2 linked regions of the Astyanax mexicanus genome follow. The protein of the gene in region 2 interacts with the protein of the main gene of each other region in a biochemical or structural test. Links are inferred from orthologs where the notes say so. Each region holds a gene or a part of one and is shown on either strand. Other genes may lie near its edges.

Region 1 (10,422 bases), on a different chromosome or scaffold from region 2:
TTGTTATCCAGGATCAAAGTAGCTCCACACCTCATTTGTAGAATCCGGAAAGCTCTGATATTTACACGAGGAATTAAGAACTTGTGGAGAAGAAATTTAATAAAAAATTTCTGTTTTCAACCAGTAGCATAGCCTACATCTCCGGGCGCCACCATCTTACATGATCAGTAGAGCGACAAGCATGTACTGTTGACGGAAATACATGCTGTATACGTGAAGTCGACGTGGCCGGGATGTGTGCTGTGATCGGACGGCATAAGAAAAGTTGGTGCCTTTCCAGTCTGCAATATTACATGCTTGAAGGTCTACTGATCATGACTTTACTTTAAAATGTCAGTGCCTGGAGCTGTAGCTAAGGCTACGGGATGTAAGCAGTAGTTTTTATAGTTCTTAATTCCTCGTTTAAAATGTCAGTGCTCTCTGGATTCTACCAAATGAGGTGTGGAGCTACTTTAAGCCTGGATAATGGTGGAAACAGTGATTTATCTGCAGGGACAAGAATATGCCCCGTATCACTAGGGCTGGACCCGAATATTCGGGTATTCGGATATTCGTTCGTTGAGTAGGTATTCGGTTTTTAATTTTGGTATTCGGATATTCGTTTTTTTTCCCCTTTCCAGAGTTCCACCTCACTCTAACCACTTCTGTTCTCGCGGGTCCCGTCAGAATATCTTGCGCGCGGGACAGAACTGAACTGTTATTGGCTGGAGCGGGAGTTTAATCCAGACGATGCGGGAGCAAATTAATAAATAGTTAAGAAAACTGTAATAATTGTAAAAAAAAAAAAAACCTAAAGAAAACTCTCAACGCGCAGGATGGACCGACACACACACGCACACACCGATGGTGTTTGGACTGGGGTAAGGAACGGGACCACACTATTTTAATAAATATATAAGTAAATTTGAAGCATTAAATGTAGTTTATTTAATTTATATTAGGAACGTGGGGCGGGAGCGGCAGAAATGTTTATGTGGCGGGCGGGCGCGGGATTAAAAGAAGCAATTTTTTTGCGGCGCGGTAACGAGACAGAAACGCGGGAGCGTGGAAGAGTGGGTTTAAAAATCAGTCTCGCGCAGACCTCTATTATACATGATAAAAAAAATGCAGGCTCTTCGAAACTGATTTATATAATAAAACGTAAGGGGTAATGTGGCAACAGTAGGGGCTAAATCGGTTACAAAAGCCTGGCCTACAAAAATGATGTCTGAACGAATTTCCTCTTATCTAATATAATTTAAAATGGTTTAAAAATATAAAATAATTTCTAAGCAAACGAAATATTTAATATTGAGCTTATAGCCCAAGTGCAAAAATACAAAATCAGTAATATGCCCTGCACAATCCTTTAACCGAAATAGACCAAGTACAGTTTACAATGACTGTCCTCTAATATAATCAACAATGTTTAAGAATATAAAATACTTCCTGAACAAACGTTTTTTGTTTGTTTGTTTTTTTAAGCAAATAACCTAAGTGTGAAAACACAAACAGCAATTTACTGGGCTGGCTTGCGCAGCGGAGAAACCGTGCAGCAGCAGCCTCGGTGTGGGGCAGCAGCAATTCCGGGATGAAAACACAAAGAAATCTGGGCTAAAAACAGAAAAAATATGGGGTGAAAACACAAAAATCCGGGATAAAAACACCAAAAATCCGGGGTGAATATGTCTCGTCGGTCAGAGCAAATTGAACATTTTTCAGTGGATTAAAGGGGCCGTGATTTGCTTTTTTTTTTACCTCTTTTTTTAAAAACGAATATTCGAATATTCGCTTCGAATCAGTGCCGAATATCCGGAGCTCAAAAAACGCTATTCGGGCCAGCCCTACGTATCACTCAGTCTAAGGGTCTTTGGTCAAATGGAATAAAATTGCTGGAACATCAGAAAGCAGTGGGAGAACGGAGGTGGTACTTTTCATAATGTTCTACTACAATCAAAGTCAATTTTATACAGGAGTTCTCCTTTAATCTGAAACTCATGCTGGACACAGTTGTTCAAGTTACAGTAGCATGACTTTCCGAAGCTTTTATATTAAGACTACACAAAATGACCACATACCTTTACAATCTCTGGATCCAAATCGCCATTGCAGCTGTCAAAATATTTCTTTAGATCCTGTTAATAGAGAAATATATACATATATAAAAGATACATGGAACTGCAAAATCAGTTTCTGTAATATATAGGGTGGGGGGTCTTAATAACACATCCTGTGTTTTTCAAATAAAGGATACTGTGCAAAGACAACATACTCAGATATAATAATTGTAGGCATATAATGGAAATGAAAACAGCCCTAAAACATCCACTATCCTATGCTATGATTACAGCACCTACTACAGCCCTTTTACTGTATAATAAAACAGTGTTGCCTTACCTGATCACAATATTCAAACACTAATGTCAGCTTTTTGTCACTGTGTAGAACATCATGCAACCTTGACAGAAAAAAACAAAAACAAAAAACAAACATTTAAATTTTTCAACACTGCATGAGTGGAAAAGAAAACGTCAACTACTGTATAATTTCAAATACATGTAAAATGTCAATTGAAATTACAGTAAATAATCCTACCTTACAATGTTTTTATGCTTCAGCTCCTTCAAGAGACAAATTTCTCTTAAAGCTGAACTGGGAACCCCCTACAAAAGAAACAGTAAAATTAAAAACAATGCTTAAACAGAACATGTAGGTGTTTAAGAAACGGTTAAAAGTATTGCTTTAGTTTGGTCTGTAATACTGTATACATTTACTTTCAGTTTTCTTACATTTTCAGTAAACAATGGCAAAATATTGCCTTGCTTACAGCGTCAAAATATACTGCAATATATTGATTTATAACCAAGTTCTTGTCGATACACAGCCCTAATAACATTAGTAGCACTGTCTGATCTCCTGACCTCATCATCATCATCCAGCCTGACCCGCTTCAGAGCCACTATCTCGTGCGTCTCTCGGTTTTTAGCCTTGAAGACTGTTCCATATGTACCTGTTGGAGAACAGAAACAGCATGCACTCAGAGACGATGAAACATATAACTACAGTATCAGTCAAATGTTTGCACACAACTCTTCTCATTCAATGTTTAAAAAAGTGTTAGTCCTCCACATTAATCCCCTGACCTAAACCTGATCAACTGAGATGGTGATTAGAGGTGATTTGGGATGAGCTGGAGCTTCACAACGTGAAGGAAAAGCAGCAACTATGGTTCAGCACCTCCAGGAACTCCTTTAAGACGCTGAGAAAACTATTTCAGGTGATTCACAAACTCAAAGATAAATGTGCTACTTAGAAGAATCTCAAGTATTAAACATATTTTGGTTTCTTTAACACTAAATTCCACATGTTCAAACTTTTGACTGGTACTGTATGTTTGGAAAAATACATCCTGTAACAGATTTATTCTAAAATAACAGACTGACACACACACAGTGTGAGAGACAGTATGTGTTGTTCTTCTTTGATGTTATTTTGGGATTAATGATCCCTGCTGTGTCTTGCTTCTTTCTACTGCTCTCTTTCTGAATGAACAGAGGAGCAAAGCCCTATTACTCACAGTTAAGACTCCTTTTGAGTCAAAAACAGATTTAATTTGTGAGACTATTAACCAGGGGATATTAGCCATTTGTCTAGTTTCTGTAACACTCACCTTATATGTCTGTAACACATATCGTCCACAAAAAAATCGTATTGTGACAGACCACGATGTAAATAAACGGTTTGCAGTGTATACAATTCTGACTCCAGCAAATTCTAGAACTGGTTTGCCACAACATCAATTACAGGCTACAATTCATCATGTTTACAACATATTATTCACTATTATATATACATTTATGTATGTGTGGACTAAGTGCATTAGGTAGCTAACTAACTAACAGCTTACTTAGCTAATTTACGTGTTTTGTAGCTAGTTAATCTAGCACATTATTATTATTATTTTTTTTTTTATCGTTAATTAACGTTAGCGTTAGCTAAGTCACAGCCTGTCTTGTCTGTGTGCGATACCAGCGGCTGGCGAGCTGGAAGCCTCCAATGGAAGCCTCCAGGTAACTCCGGCTCGTTGTAAAGGTAAATGTGCTGAACTCTGGCTGTGTGTGGCTTTGTTGATGGCAGCTCTTTAATCTCCTGTCACTGTTTGTAGCTCTCCCACTGATTTACAACCTATGGCCCGCAGGCAGGCTGGCCTTCGCCGGTAACGCTGGGTTAAGCTCTCTGGTCCCCAAGCTAAGCGAGCCAGCTAGCAAACACAGCTAGCCCGGCTAACCCAGCTAACAACCGCTGCAGCGTCTCTCCCAGCCGGACAGCAGGGAGGCAGCACAGCTCGGGCTTACCCTCTCCGATCTTCTCCAGCTTCTCATATTTCTGCATGCTGAACCAGTGAAGCTCGCCGTATCTATCTCTCAGCCGCTGGCCCGGTTCCGCTGCTCCGCTCGGTTCAGCTCAGGCAGGTACCGCTGATCGCAAGTCAACAACAGAAGGGGCGTGGCTGCTCCAGCAACATGGCTACAGTGAGGAGAAGCTTCAAAATAAAAGTCACTTAGTAAGTATTGATCCTGAGGTAATAAAGAAAGCTATTATGTATATAAATGTAACATTAACATGTTAAATATATCATTTTAAAAACATTTAACAAAACAGAGTTACGCTCAATTCCAATTCATCCTTGGCCCTACCGCTTAGCTCAACCAATAGACAGTCTAAGAGCCAATCCCATGCGTAAAAGCATAAAGACGCATGAATTCTGATTTGACATTTGAATTGGATTTCACATTCATACAGCCATAAAAAAATCTAATCTGAGCCACATTGAGCAAGAAAAACAGGTTTAAGTCACTTCAGTCTGGTAATGTGAACATAGCCTAGGTAACTTAAGGGCATCGTATGTCTTCAAAAAGGGGGCAGGTGGTAACGCAATTAATTATTATAAATTCCTTAATTCCTCTGTAAAGAGGGCTGAAGCTTATTTTTATTTAGTATCACTAAAAGTCTTGATGTTCATGTGTCCACGGTACGACAGATGGTCTACAAATAGAGAAAGTTCAGCACTGTTGCTACACTCCGTAGGTCTGATCGTCCTGTAAAGATGACTGCAAGAGCACAGCACAGAATGATCAATGAGGTGAGGAAGAATCAGCTGAAGACTTACAGAAATCTCTGGCACATGCTAACATTTTTGTTGACAAACCTACAATAAGAAAAACATTAAACAAGAATGAAGTTCATGAGAGGACACCATGGAGGAAGCCACCGCTGTCCAAAAAAACATTGCTGCATGTTTGAAGTTTGCAAAGGAACACCTGGATGTTCCACAGCAGTACTGGCTAAATATACTGTGGACAGATAAAGCCAAAATTGAGTTGTTTGGAAGGAACACACAACAAAATTAGCATATTGTGATAAAGTTAATTTTTTCCATAATTAAATGATAAAAAGTAAACTTTCATATATTTTAGATTCATTGCACACCAACAGAAATATTTCAGGTCTTTTATTGTTTTAATACTGATGATTTTGGCATACAGCTCATGAAACCCCCAAATTCCTATCTCACAAAATTAGAATATCATGAAAAGATTCTCTAAAAGAGCTATTAACCTAATTATTTGAATCAACGAATTAACTCTAAACACCTGCAAAAGATTCCTGAGGCTTTTAAAAACTCCCAGCCTGGTTCATTATTCAAAACCGCAATCATGGGTAAGACTGCCGACCTGACAGCTGTCCAGGAGGCCATCATTGACACCCTCAAGCAAGAGGGTAAGACACAGAAATAAATTTCTGAACGAATAGGCCGTTCCCAGAGTGCTGTATCAAGGCACCTCAGTGGGAAGTTTGTGGGAAGGAAAAAGTGTGGCAGAGCCACAGGCTGATTGCCTCCATGCCACGCCGCATTGAAGCAGTAATTTCTGCACCAAGTATTGAGTGCATAACTGAACATAATCATTTGAAGCTTGACTTTTTTTGCATTAAAAACACTTTTCTTTTATTGGTCAGATGAAATATGCAATTTTTTTAAAATAAGTATTTTTGTTTTGTCTTTACTTTTTTGCCAAAATCATCAATATTAAAACAATAAAAGGCTTGAACTACTTCAGTTGCGTGTAATGAATCTAAAATATATGAAAGTCTAATGTTTATTAGTACATTGCAGAAAATAATGAACTTTATCACAATATGCAAATTTTTTGAGGACCTGTATGTGTGGAGAAAAAAGGCACATCACACCATTATCAAAACCTCATCCCAACTGTGAAATATGGTGGAGGGGCATCATGGTTTGGGTCTGCTTTGCTGCCTCAGGGCCTGGACAGATTGCCGTCATCAACGGAAAAATTAATTCCCAAGTTAACCAAGACATTTTGCAGGAAAACTTAAGATAATATGTCTGAAGCTCAACAGAGGATGGATGATGCAACAGGACAGCGACCCAAAACATAGAAGTAAATCATTAACTGAATGGCTTCAACAGAAGAAAATGCACCTTCTGGAGAGTCCTGACCTCAACCCAATTGAGATGATGTGGCATCATGACCTCAAAAGAGAGATTTACACCAGAAATCCCAATAATATTGCTGAACTGACACAGTTTTGTAAAGAGGAATAATCCAAAATTCCTCCTGATGTGCAGGTCTGATCTGCAACTACAGGAAACGTTTGGCTGCAGTTTTTGCTGCCAAATGAGGGTCAAGTTATTAAATCCAAAGGTTCACATACTTCCCCCCCTTACTGTGAATGTTAACATGTTGTGTTCAATAAAACCATGGAAACATATTTTTTTGTGTGTGGTTTTAGTTTAAGCTGACAGTGTTTGTCTATTGTTGTTACTTGTGATCAGAACACATTTAACGACCAATTTATGCAGAAATCCAAGTAATCCCAAAGGGTTCACATACTTTTTCTTGCAACTGTAGATATATGATACACAGTCTCCATGTATCCATAGAATGATTTGACGGTAAATCAAAATTTAAAAGTGCTTTAAGACATAGCTTAGAGATTTAGACTAGATGTTACAAAGATGTTTGATTTCAGGATGAAACCTAAACTCACCAAATACTTTATCATGAACAGAACACTAACCTTTGGTAGTCTTTACATTGCTCAAAAAAGCCTTAGTTTATGTATTTTACCTGGAGAAAATCTGCACAGACACAGGGAGTACACACCAAACCGATCACAGTGTTCAGATCGGGGATTGAACCCCCAAACCCAGGCCCCTGGAGCAGTGCGACAAACACGCTACCTGCGGTGCCACCACTGTCCGCCAAAATCTGCATTACTTTATTGCCATAAATCAATATACTACTCTTTTATTGACATAAGCTTGTAGAAAAAAAATTCTATTATGGGCAAAAAATATCTAAAAGGGTGTACCAAGTGCATAATGTGTATTTTTGTGGTATATATATTTGCATGATTGCTGAGGTGTAATAAATCAGTTTTATTTATTAACAATACTCCAGTTACATCAAATATACATCTTAACCCTCGTGTTTACTCAGGCATTCTTTCTGAAATTCATTATAACACATACACTTTACTATACATTCATGTACATAAAACATGTAATTCTACATATTATTTAAAAAATATATTACTAAAATACTTACAGTCAGTAGACAGTATGCTCTATAATGCTTAGAAACACCGCTCATTCAAAACTACTCCAATCCTGAGCTCAAAACTTTCTCACAATTCACAATCCTTTGATCTACAAGTAGTGTAGTAAATCACCCTGATAACACATCATACAGGGAAATGTAATTAAAAGGTTTTGTTTACATCCAGTAAACTATGAACAAGACCAGTCAGTGTTTTGGACTGTAGTGCTGCACTTCCACCACATCACGGATTCATTGTTGGCCATTAGATCTTTGTCTTCTGATCAGCTCAGCATACAGACCCCCTTTGCTCAATAATTCCAGATGGGTTCCAGTCTTGAATAACAAAAAGATAAACAAACAGTTACAAAATAAGCAAAATAACAGGCTAAACTAAAGTCAGAAAATTATTACATTTTATACAAATGTAAATTAACAAGTAATGCTTGTATTCCCCTTCTGTCTTTATAATACAGTGCTAGTCTTTTACAGCACATGAGTGTCTGAGTGAGTAACCGACTAACTAAGTGAATGAGTACACAGTGAGTGACCATCAAAGTGAGTGACAAAGTAAAAAAAATGTAATATAAATGATATAATCCTGTCATTAGCTCTTTAAGTACAAATGTGCACACATTTAATGTATGTTATCACCAATGCATATCAAGTTCACACAGCGTGTAAGACTGGTGGAGGAGAACATGGCTGTATTCGGAATGGCATACTACTGTACTGCGTACTGCATACTGCACTAGTATGTACTGCATACTACACACTGCCCAGTATGTAGTATTCGGTACTGCAACACTTTTGATTGTAGTACCCTACACGGTCCCTGACACACCAATCAGTGCTCTGTAGTGCTCCGAATTCCTTAGAGTGAGTTGTAAACAGAAAGAACATGAAAAATGTCCTACCTTTTCATTATTAAAACTAATGAGATCTGCATACTGTCCAGAACAGCAATTGCTGCTTTTATTTTAGAGTTTAGCAGCTAACCCAATTCTAACAACCAATTAGCAGCAGCCCCCACAACCCAAGTATGTTCCAGTTATATTTAAATATGTTTTTCTATTTATTTTAGTAGATTACTATTTTCATCTATGTAAGTACCAACAAGAAGAAAACATTTAAACAAACTCTCATTCATATTTACACAATCTCAACACAAATCAAACAATTAATTTGTATTCAAATAATTCCCTTATTTAAAAGAAAAATATGTATTTAAACTAAGGGAATTATTTATTAAATCAACAGAACGATTTATTAAACAAAGGTCATTATTTATTAAATAAAGAGAACGATTTATTAAAACTGAGGGAATTTTTTATTAAAGTAACAGAATAATTTATTAAAACTGAGGGAATAATTTATTAAAATAACAGAATAATTTATTAAAACTGAGGGAATCATTTATTAAAACTGAGGGAATCATTTATTAAAACTGAGGGAATCATTTATTAAAATAACAGAATAATTTATTAAAACTGAGGGATTTATTTACTGCATCAAGGAAAGTAATGGCTCACCGCTGTCGAGACCCTCTGCTGTCCCGGCAGCGGAGGGTCCCCACCCGCGGAAAACGCGTGGCCGCGGCAGCGGAGGGGGCTCGACAGCGGTGAGCCAATACTTTCCAAAATAATTCCCTTAATTTAAAAATATATTTATTTATAAAATTTAAAAATATCTCGCACTCGCATCCATCTTGTTTTTTTCTGAAGCGAGCTGGAGAAGCCAGTCGCAATGCATGTTGGGATGCAGTACACCGCAAAGATAGCTCCCCATGCACACTGCGAAATCGGAGCGGAGTAGTACGTACACCATCCGGGTACCTGTAGTGCACTACAGATCCTCAGTTTGGTCACATACTGCGTACTGCATACTGGCTTTAGGCAGATTTAGTACGCGAGTAGTATGTAGTATGCCATTCCGAATACAGCCCAAGTCTGGATGCATGAAAACTTTAATTAAAAAACAGGGTCATTGAACTCTGAAATATGAACTTTTTTTTGGCATTATTTGAGGTATGAAAGCTCTGCATCTTTTTGTTATTTCAGCCATTTCTCATTTTCTGCAAATAAATGCTCTAAAAGACAATATTCTGATTTGAAATTTGGGAGAAATGTTGTCCATAGTTTATAGAATAAAACAGCAAGTTAGTTTTCCTTAAACATATACCTATAAATGACAAAAATCAGAGAAACTGATAAGTGGTCACTTATTTTTTTCCAGAGCTGTGTTTATTGCATTCTAATAGAAAGGCTAATAAATATGCATTTGTTTAATGTTTTATATTAACCTACAAATTCTATAAATACATTTTTGAATGCATAAAAATGAGTAAATATACTCATTTCTATATACAAGAATGAACATTTTAAAAGTAATTGTCTATAGTTCTATATGTTTCTATAAGTATAGAAGTACGCTTTGTGAGGGGTTATTTTGTGAGTAAGGTTGAACACTGGCCTCATTGCAAAGCAACTAAATTATTTAGAGTTGGACTAAGGCCTGACAGAAGGTGCCAGATGGATCGGTTGTAAGGATATTTAACATTCCTCAATCCACATCATCTTGTGTTTACCATCATAGAATATGTCATAGAAGGCATTAAATTCCATTTCCACTCACAGTAGACAGTTCAGTGGGTGATAATGATCATGACAATGGTGTTTGGTTAGAAAAAAACAAGCAACTCTATTCAATCGTCTTTAGCTTTAAATGACAAACATGTAATTCTACTACATACAGTCATAATTGTTTAATCACTTTCCTACCATATTCCCTCTGTATCATATTCATCTACAGAACATCT
Region 2 (10,217 bases):
ATTGGGACACCAATCTTTCTCCTCTTATAAGGTCTACTTTCTAAGTAACATTCTCTACTTTCCACAGAAGAGTTTCTAATAGATTTTTCTAGAGCATTGATGTGACAGCAATAGTATGATCAGGATGTTAGATGGCACCAATATTCCAGAGAACTCAGGTCCTCTAGTCTACAGCTTAATTCTCCAGGCCTGTCATTAGTCGTAATGCGAAAATACTTAATATTTTACGTAAATCCCTGGAGGAAATCTGGGAATTCTTGCTCCTGAACCACATTCAAAAACCAACCAGATCCAACCAGTTTATCCTTATTTTTTTGCTGTCCAGCAGCTGCGCTGTATGGTCCAGACAAACTGCTTTTTTATTTGATTACCTATTTGATTAATAAGACTTTATTATCCCATGTCAGATCTCTAATTCTTCTTTTTCACAAACTGAGACTTAGTCCAATGTTAGGCTGAGCTTAAGGCTGGCGTTGCCATGTGGGTCAGCTAAACCTCTTCCTCCAGTTTCCCAGAGACTTTTGAAGGTGTAGGAAACAGTACTAACTGCTCTCTGGCTTCATCTTTAATTTCTTATAAAAAAAAGTCTTCTACTTTTAATAGTTACAGAGTGATCTGGGTTTCTGTGTCTTTTTCTAGTTATTATGATAAATGTGTGTATGTGCTGTGTGTAAGTGTGTAAATGCAGCAGTATCTGTTTCAATACTGTTTCGGTTTTATTTACAATATACATTTTTTACCATACTAAAACTACTTTTTGGAAAATGTATTGTATTATGTGCTATTTACAGTTACTGACTGGACATAAAGAGCTTAAATAAAAAGGGGAAAAAAATAAAGGTGTTCCAAAACTTTTGATAAGTTGTGTATATTACATAAAACATACTTAAAAATAAGTATTGTTATCACAGTATCAACAATATATGTTCATATTTTTTATTATAATTGCAAAGGGCACAATGTAACATCGCAGGAGGCTAATTAAACCATACATGTAATTCTTTGCTAACTTGCTTGATACAAAAGGAAGCTTATATCTGTCCAATATTATTTATTTTACTTCAGTCTTCAATACACAAACTGTGTAACTGGAAATATCATGAAACATTAAATTTTGGACTGAAATGTGGTGAAATTTTGTGCATTTTAAATATGATAATATATCATTTTTTCCAGTATTGTGCAGAGCTATAAAGAATAAAACTCCTTTTTCTTTTCAGCCCATTTACAGAACTACTGCGTCTACACTCTTCCAGTCTTTTCTCTGTGATGATTTAAGGTAGTTACACGTGACAGTGCTGAAGATCCACATTAAAGCTTCTCCTGTTTCCGCACAGCTGATTGGTCCAGACAGTGTTTGCGTTAACCTGACGTGCGGAGCAAACCGAACAAAACATGACAAACGATCAAAGTTAACGCAGTGCTGACAAACAAAAGCCTACAAATGTCATGTGGACCAGCCCTTAATGGACCTTCAGCAACTGTCCCATCAAGTCTGATCTTGCAATGTACACAAATGTACAGGTGAAAGCTTTACATTTAGCTTTGTGCTCGGACACAGACGTTTCTCCCGCTTTACATACAGTAGACCTGCGTAGATGCTCTGTCCTTTTAAAATAGTTCCATAAACACCCATTATAAGCTCAAAAAGCTCTTTGCTTGTTTTTTTCACATTGAAGAAAACCCTTTTATAGGTGTTTCTACATTATATGGGACCTTGACCTTGACCTACATGCTTCAATACTTCTACTTCTTTAATAATTGTGAATAGACCCATGATCCCTTAAAGAACCATTGAATGCTCTTGAAATAGCACTTTGGTTGGTTATGGGTTCTTTGGACTGATTAAAAACCTCCTGTAGATGGTTGTATTTGGAAACAAGACAACCTTAAAGAACCACTAAATAAAAACTAATAAAACTAAATAAAAAAACTTTCTAGGTGGTTCTATTTAGAAGAATGAAAAATCAATGTACCATGTGTTTTTCAAATAGTGCTTTGTTTGGCTTAATGTTCTTTAGATTGGTAGAAAATCTTCTGTAGAAGGTAAAATTAAATGGTGTTTTGTTTGGTTAAATGGTGCTTTGTTTGGCCCATTTGGAAAACCTTGGAAGGTGGACTTATATACAGAGTAGGACCTATATAGTGTTTAATGTAGAGTTCATTTATTCTTCTATTTTAAAAGAACCCTTTATTCCGTACTCAATGGAACCCGTTTTTTGTGTAGGGTAGAGTGTAGGGTCTGTGAGAGGAGCTCTGATTCAGTTAGATGGAGAGAATGTGAAGGAAAGAGTGATGATGTGAAATCCCTTCCACAGGGACGGGATTGCAACAAGAACATGATGTTTTCCACTGATATTTCCTAACAACAGCGGTGGTCAGGCCAAGATGAAGTGTGGAAAACAATGATTTTACATATATTTGAAGTTTCATCACTTACAGTGTTACACAGCTTCACACGGATACACCAAAAACCTCTTGTATTAAAAGTGCAGATCAAGTACAAAGGAGAAGTTCAATGGAGTGATGGAGTATTTATATAATGCTGTCAGAATTTAAAGCCTTTAAATGTCAAACATTTGTGGAAATCTGGGCTACGTCCCAAATGTGTACTTCACACTAATACTATCAGGTATATATTATTATATAATATATTATTATACATTTAGCACTGAGTACTAAACTCAGTAGTGCTGGTTTGGCAGATTAGTACACAACCTTTTTAACATACTAACCTGTTTTAAAAGTGTGAAGCACTGCTAAGCCAATATACAACACGTCATTGACATCACTGCTGCACTTGCATCATTATCCACCATTTATTTTCAAATAATTGTCTTGTACGAAAAGTACTTCCTCACCACGTTGACCACATTGTGGGGTGTCATTTTGTATAATGCTAGAGCATCTTTGGTCTTCATTACAGGCATTTTACTTAAATGATGACCTGCAACTAGTGGCCCTATCTTTTCTGAACCCCGTATCTTTTCTGTGTGCAACAGTACAATACTCATTCATCTCTGATTGAAACTGTGAGGGATGCTATTGGATGCACTGTCAACATTCATATACCCCTACTGTTATATCTGCAGGAACTGCATAAGAGTATTGAGGCTGCATGGGATGGACATCATTCGCAGGACATCATTAGGAACCTCTACAACTCCACGCCTGTTGCATATGCATTATACACTACTTCTGTATGTGTAGCTCAATAAATATTAGCCAAACTAGTGTACATTTAAAAAAATGTTTTGTTCCTAGTAACTTCATCATTATCTTCATCACAGAGTCTGCACCAGAGTTCATGTCTTTGTTATGTTGTGTAGGTTTGCTCCAGTTAGTTTCGGTTTCACACTGCAGTTTAGTGAGCAGAATAAAGAACTTTACTACATCCTGTCATCATCAGCTACATGGGTGGAGTCTCTCTATACTTAATATTTATTGGTTTGCAGAATGTTAGATATGAATATGCCGAGTTGCTTTGCCTGGTGTGGCCGATTCTAGCTCTCTGTCAGAATCTGAAAATATTCTTCTCAGATTCCTTTTATTTCTGTTTATAAATAAGGGTTAACCTACTGTTACAGTAAATTAATGATTTTCCAGTTTAAGCGTTTGTGTCCTAAATGCTGCATCCTGCACATCAAGGGTCTTTTTTCTTCTGGTTTGTTTAAAGACTGCATAAACTTCCTGTAATAAGTTAGAAAGTCAGAAGGTCTAAACCATCTAGAGAAGTGTTTTCACACTGCAGATGAACCGGACCTTATTTCAGTAGATCTAGACTGAGACCACCTCTTTTGGTTGGACCAAACTCTCCAAATCAAACAGCTGCTTGTGTGGTTCGCAGTCCTGTTCACACCTGCTGGTTTGATTCAGACCCAAACTGAAATTCTGACAATTCCGACCAAACAAGGCAGGTGTGAAAGCACCATTAATCATCAATACTTCAGGCTGATCATCCTGATGATCCACATAACTGGTAAAAGCACAGACTGAAACTGGTTTGGTCCAAAAGTGGTTTAAACACCTGAAAGGTTTGAGGGCATTATTGTCCAGCAGCACTGCCAATAAAATAAAATAAAATGTATGCATGATCCACATCAGCTTCCTATTTACCATTGAAACTCAACAGGTAAAAAATCAATCTGCATTAAAACAGGGATTGCAAAGTTCTAAAAATGCGCTGAACACACCAGGAAACACTGTTCTTTGTGGACAACTAATATTCAAGAAATGAGAGCAAGGAATATACACAAGAAAAACCCCAGAAAATCCACTTACCAACCTCCATTTACCACCCGTCACAGTCACATAGTCCTGAGGCTGAGGGAAATCACAGGTCTGGCAGCTGAGAGGTGCTACCGTTCACGTAGCTACAGTCTGCAGCAGAGCCGGGATCATCAGTAGAGGACACCAGCCGAACCTGCCTGACCACATTCAACGACATCTCCACATTCATCTCAGCGAGGCGGGCTGATAAGCCCTCAAACAGGCGACTGACTGCTCCTCTCGCTGTGGGATTCTGACCAGATAATTCAGCACAACCTGCATACCACACTCCTCTTCCTCAGACCAGAGGAATGTACAGTGCTAAACTTTCAGACTGTTTACCTCCAGGGTGTTCTTACAGCAGATCTTTCCTCAACTCTAACGCCTGTCTGCAGAAAATTCCCGTAAATGGTGAAACGGAGGGTAAACAGTATCAGACTAGGTGTAGCATAGGGGGTAAAAACATTGCACAACCTCCCTGCAGTCCAAAAAAATAAACGTACTACAAAAGGTTCTTCAGGCAATGACACAAAATAACTATTTGTTGTTCCATAATGTACAATTTCTGCAATAGAATTTTGTGAATTTGAATATTTAAAGACCCCTCTACAATTTTTTTTAAAGAAACTATAACTGGATCTGCAATGAGCTTGTTCATAGCGATAGTATCTGATCTTCACCCTGATTATATTTTTACCACATGTTTATATTTGCTAGTCATATGTGTTACCAAGCTGGACTCCAACTGCTGTGTGGGACGGAATATGCAAAAATGTGTTAAATGTCTCTCAGACCACCTACTGAAATGTTTTAAGTAATCCATTGTGTATCTGTTATATCTGCATCTCAGACCAACTTCTGAAGTGGTCAGAGTGATTGAATTTGTATTGGATTAAATGCATCTAAGACCATGTCTTGAAGTGGTTTGATTGATCGAATATAGTCTGTTTTAACTGTTCTCAGACCACCTCCTGAAGTCGTTTGAGTGATCGGATTTGTATCTGTTTAAAATGTGTCTTTGTGTGTTTACAATTGCATTTTGGCCGTATCTACAGTGGCGTCAAAAAGTATTTGCCCCCTTACAGATTTTTCTTGTTTTTGCATGTTTGTCAAACTTACTTTTTTCAAATTATCAAATTACATCTGGCATATAACTAACACATGATATATATATATAAAAAAAACATTATACTGAACATAAAACATGATGGTGGTAGTGTGATGGTCTGGGGCTGCTTTGCTGCTTCAGGGTTTGGATAACGTGCTGTAATAGATGGAACCAGGAATTCTGCTGTTTACCAGACAATCCTGAAGAAGAATATCCTGCCATCTTTTCCAGACTTCAAGCTCAGACGTACTTGGGTTCAGTAGCAGGACAATGATCAAAGCACACAAACAACAAGTCCACCTCTGAATGGCTTGGAAAAAAAAAATGAAGCTTTTGGAGTGGCCTAGTCAAAGTCTGATTGAGATGCTGTGGTTCATGGTCGAAAACCTCCAATCAAGCTAAATTAAAACAATTCCGCAAAGAAAGTGAGCCACAATTCCTCGATAGAAATGTGAAAGACTTGTTGCCAGTTATCGGTAAAGCTTGATTAGAGTTAGGTAGTAAGTTTAGGGGGCAAACACTTTTTCACACAGGGCTAGATTGGATTGGATACTTTCTTTCCTTTAATAAATCATATTAACAATTAAAAAGTATTTACTCAAATCATCTTTTCTGATATTTAAGTTTGTTTAATAATTGAAAAAATATAATTACGACAAAGCAAAGCAAAAATACATTTTATAGGTATAATCATGGTACTAAAGAAGCATTAAATTACTCATAGATCCTGTTTACACCTGACATTAAAGATCAATGAGGCGATTTTTGGGGGTGACCAGAGATGAATCTTGTCCTCATTTAATACATGTGTAAACAGGATGTTTTCTGTGATCAGTTTATGTGGAGGAGTGTGGGTTTTCCACCACTGCATAAGAAAACTTTAAATAAATTGGTATTTTCAATGATGTGGAAGAGAGCCTAAAATGCCTAAAATTTTTTTTTTGCCATTTCTGGCAGAATAATTTTGCCTGCCAAATATTTGGCCTATCAAGCTTATTAAGGTCTATAGACTGATATCTGGTGTGAAATGAACTTGGTAGTGTAGTGAAACGTGATTGGATAGTTGTATCTGCTGTAATTGCAAACGAGTGGAAAAGAGGAAAGAGCTTCATCTCTGTGCTCTAAACTCTTCACTGCAGTGCTGCTGGTTGGTCTCTTTGAGCACTTTCTGAAACAGTGTTTCTCTGAAAAGTGGAGAGTGTGGCTCAGGTTCAGGATTTGGTCGCGACACTGTAGGTGCGACATTTTCAATGGAAAAGGACGTGACCTCAAGATTCTGCATACAGAGAAAATGTGACTTCCTGACCTCCGCTCTGCCAGCAAAATCTCCCCCACTGAGTGTCACTCGTGCCCTCTCGCTATGAGACGGAGCCCAGACACCGGCTTGTCTCGCCGCCCACACGGCTACTACTGAATTTGCTGGGCAGGTGTTCGTCACTTTGATACAGGAATTACACTACGAGACTGGTAGACCACATGCTGGGTAGTCTGGCATAGATTTGTCAGGCTTGGCACGCGTGAACCCTGATTTGTTCTGAGTGATTTGGGAAACATGGTGTGCGGGGAAATCCCGAGACTTTCCTTCTGAACATCTGCTGTTTTTAGAGATGATTGAGATGATTGATGGAGGAAAAATGTTCAATACTGCACTACTGTTACATTTAAAAAGCCTATAGAGCCAATATCCACAGCTAGTCAATCATTTTTACTGACATCAATATTGTCATAATTATTTTAGTTTTTCTTAGCAAGGAGAAACCATTTATGTAAATGTGCTGACATGTTTCTATTTTTTTTTGTTTTGTTTTGTTTTATTTAAGATCTTTAAAATGACCAGACATTTTTATTTCAATTCCAATGTATGAATATTCTCAACAATGTAAAGTTCAATAAGCTTTTCAACATTATCACTATTATCAGTGGCATTAAATGCAGTGTCTTGAAATGACAATAAAATATTTTATCTCAATTATTTCTGGTAAAGTAAATCATCCAAACAAAATATTGAGACAGGTAGTATTGAGACAGAACTTAAACATAATGGGAAAAAAATCTGTGTAGAATAATAGTTTTAATCCAATCAGAACAAAGACATCTAACATCACACTATAACACTGATATCTAGTGGGTGGTGTTTAAACACAACACTAAATTAACCACTAATCTTTATATATAAACTAATAATAAAAAAATAATACTGTATTTTTGGAAATCGAGAACTAAACTGTTTAGGGTTTTTGTGACTGATTCTTGAACATTGTTCTCAAGAATCTGCTGATATTGACTGGAATCTATGGGTGGGAGATATGGCTCTAAAATAATATCACGATATTTCATGGTATTTTCATGATAACGATACTTTTGGCGATATGACAAAACACTGAATTAGAAAAATTATTTAGAATTGTATTATTGCATGCAACATGATATGGCTAACTGAGATATTAAAAAAAATAATAATTTTATCAGATTTGTAAAAGAAGTCAATGACTCAGAATGTCATTATACTAGTAATGCACTCCAAATATCTCTTTATATCAAGGATTAAAGTTATATAATCTGTCTCTAGTAGATATATAATGGGAAATGAGAACAGTGTGAATTTTTCTTTTGCTAAAAACGCCAAAAAAGTAGTACTATGTTGTGATAATTAGGGGTGGGTTTATATGACACGATATTTCAGGATATAATATCGTTCACGGTATTCAAATTTTTGGGTGATATTATCAGGTATGATACAATATGGCACAACCCTACTAGAAACCATGCTACCCTTAACTTGAACAAGATTCCCAGTACCTGCACTGACCACACAGCCCCACAGCATGATGAACCACCACTAAATTTTACTGTGGGGAGCAGGTAAACTGCTCAAATTGCTGATTAAAACAACCAATGATTTATTAAGGAAAATCATTAAAAATGATCATGGGTGCCCAAACCTTTTCATTATTAAGTAGAGAGTGAACAGTCAGTTCTTAAATTTGATTTGTTGTTTGGGAAAAATGGACAAGCGTCAGAAACTGAGACACTTTAACAGAAACCAAACTTTGATGCTCTAGACGACAAAACACCTCAGCATGAACTGATCAGAACCTACCGAAATAACTTAAGTCAGGATCATGAGCACCAAAGGGACACTGATGCTCATGAAGGTTCCGCCCACTTCACAACTTAACAAAAGGAGATACCACAGGATGCTTCCAGGTGTAAAATACACAATATTAGGCTGATGATCTTAATGTTATGGCTGATTGGTGCACATGTAAATGCAAATTTATATATTTTTTATATATATTCATGACATCACAAAATAAAAAAATAAAAAACTGTGTAATTAACACATTCTAAGACATACGCTATGTCTTAAAAAGAATGAGTGCAGCATGGACTTAGCTACTTTTAGTTGCGCCTATTACTGCTGAGACACACACACACACAGCTTATCTAGTCCCTGTAGGAGAGAAATATTGCCAATAGAATAGGACTGGAATGATGATGGTTCAATACTTTTAGATGAAATGATTTGGGGAGTTGCCTGAGCTCACGAAGTTCATGTTGCTAAATGCAATCAAATCCTCACAGCAATGCAGCTCCAAAATCTAGTAGAAAGCCAAACCTCTGTGGGCAGTATAGGCATTTACTCATTTCAACAAAAGCATGACAAAATGTATTTTTAATACCTTGATTTCCTAAATAAAAACAATACTGTCCCAATACTTTTGTCCACTCAGTGATTCATACAGTTGTGCCTGAGCTAAAAAATCATGTTTTTACACTTTCTGTCTCTGAAAAGCTGCAGAAAAAGCTTTTTTGGGCTGCGAGACAGCGCACTTCCAGGTTTTGAAATGAAGCAGCAGAACACACTTTTAGACTCTCAGATTATGCATTTTGTTCATTTCCCAGCTTTAAAATAAGGAAATAGCCATTTTCTACTCTTATAAACATGCAATACTCATGTTATCCTCTCAGTCCACTGGTGGCAGATAAAAATCAGATTTCTGGGTGAAATGTCCCGTTGAATGTCCCCTGGGCTGCAGTGACTCAAGTTTATAGGAGATGATGATGAAGAAATTGGTAGCCCTGCTTATAAGTACCCATGATGAGCATACAGTGGACAGAAAGCCTGGCCTAAAATTGTAGACAGCTTTTAACCCAGTTGCCAACGTCTCAGCACTGTCAGTGTTTGACTGAATCATTCATACCTAATAATGACTAATTTATCATATTTTTATTGCAGTGTTTCTTCTAATGATAGTCTTTTTAAATTAGACGACAGACCCAGACTCCACCTCAAAACGGCATGTTTAAGTTCATTTTACGCTCTACTCACTTAAGTTAAATGAATTAAAACGTTCCACAACACTAAGACTCAGTTTACTACCTCTTCACACACAGGCTGTTTTCCAGCTGAAAGATACAAGATGTACAGGATAGAATAGTAATGCTATCTAACATTATAAACTAATTCCAAAAACATCTTCCAGGAACCTGCTCAAGTTGGGCCTAGCCCTGACCATCCCAGCTAGCCTATCCCTGCCTATCTTGCTAATAAACACTAGCTGTAAAAGTTTATGCTTAAACAGAGGCAGCTAGTAGAGTAGAGATAATGAGAATTCTGTGAAGTTCCCCATCCTAAGAGTAGCTATCTGTGATTAGGTAATTAATAGGTGAGCTGTTTACGAGTAAATTGGGCCTGTTTATGGCAGCAGATCATTTATTACTAGGTTGTGTGTTGAAATATGTGTTTACTTTGTCCTTTGCCATGAGTTTAGCTAATGCTATAATTGCGCTGTCTCTAGAATAGAGCAATTTACCTTCTAAGATATCTGAGATCTCT

Evidence for each region.
Region 1: of the proteins of pparg (region 2) and cdk5, one has a biochemical effect on the other in vitro, tested with the Homo sapiens proteins (3 studies listed by BioGRID, with this or other methods). The link is inferred for Astyanax mexicanus from reciprocal best matches to the Homo sapiens genes PPARG and CDK5.

What each region holds. Positions count from the first base shown.
Region 1 is NC_064413.1:12,470,833-12,481,254, reverse strand, and holds the start of cdk5 (cyclin-dependent-like kinase 5), read right to left. Parts: upstream 4,488-10,422; 5' UTR 4,372-4,487; coding exon 4,335-4,371; intron 2,990-4,334; coding exon 2,901-2,989; intron 2,643-2,900; coding exon 2,575-2,642; intron 2,438-2,574; coding exon 2,377-2,437; intron 2,115-2,376; coding exon 2,058-2,114; intron 1-2,057. Other genes in the region: abcb8 (mitochondrial potassium channel ATP-binding subunit), read right to left, coding at 7,857-7,940. UniProt on the Homo sapiens protein: Proline-directed serine/threonine-protein kinase essential for neuronal cell cycle arrest and differentiation and may be involved in apoptotic cell death in neuronal diseases by triggering abortive cell cycle re-entry. Interacts with D1 and D3-type G1 cyclins.
Region 2 is NC_064431.1:12,902,709-12,912,925, forward strand, and holds the start of pparg (peroxisome proliferator-activated receptor gamma), read right to left. Parts: upstream 4,514-10,217; 5' UTR 4,292-4,513; coding exon 4,282-4,291; intron 1-4,281. UniProt on the Homo sapiens protein: Nuclear receptor that binds peroxisome proliferators such as hypolipidemic drugs and fatty acids.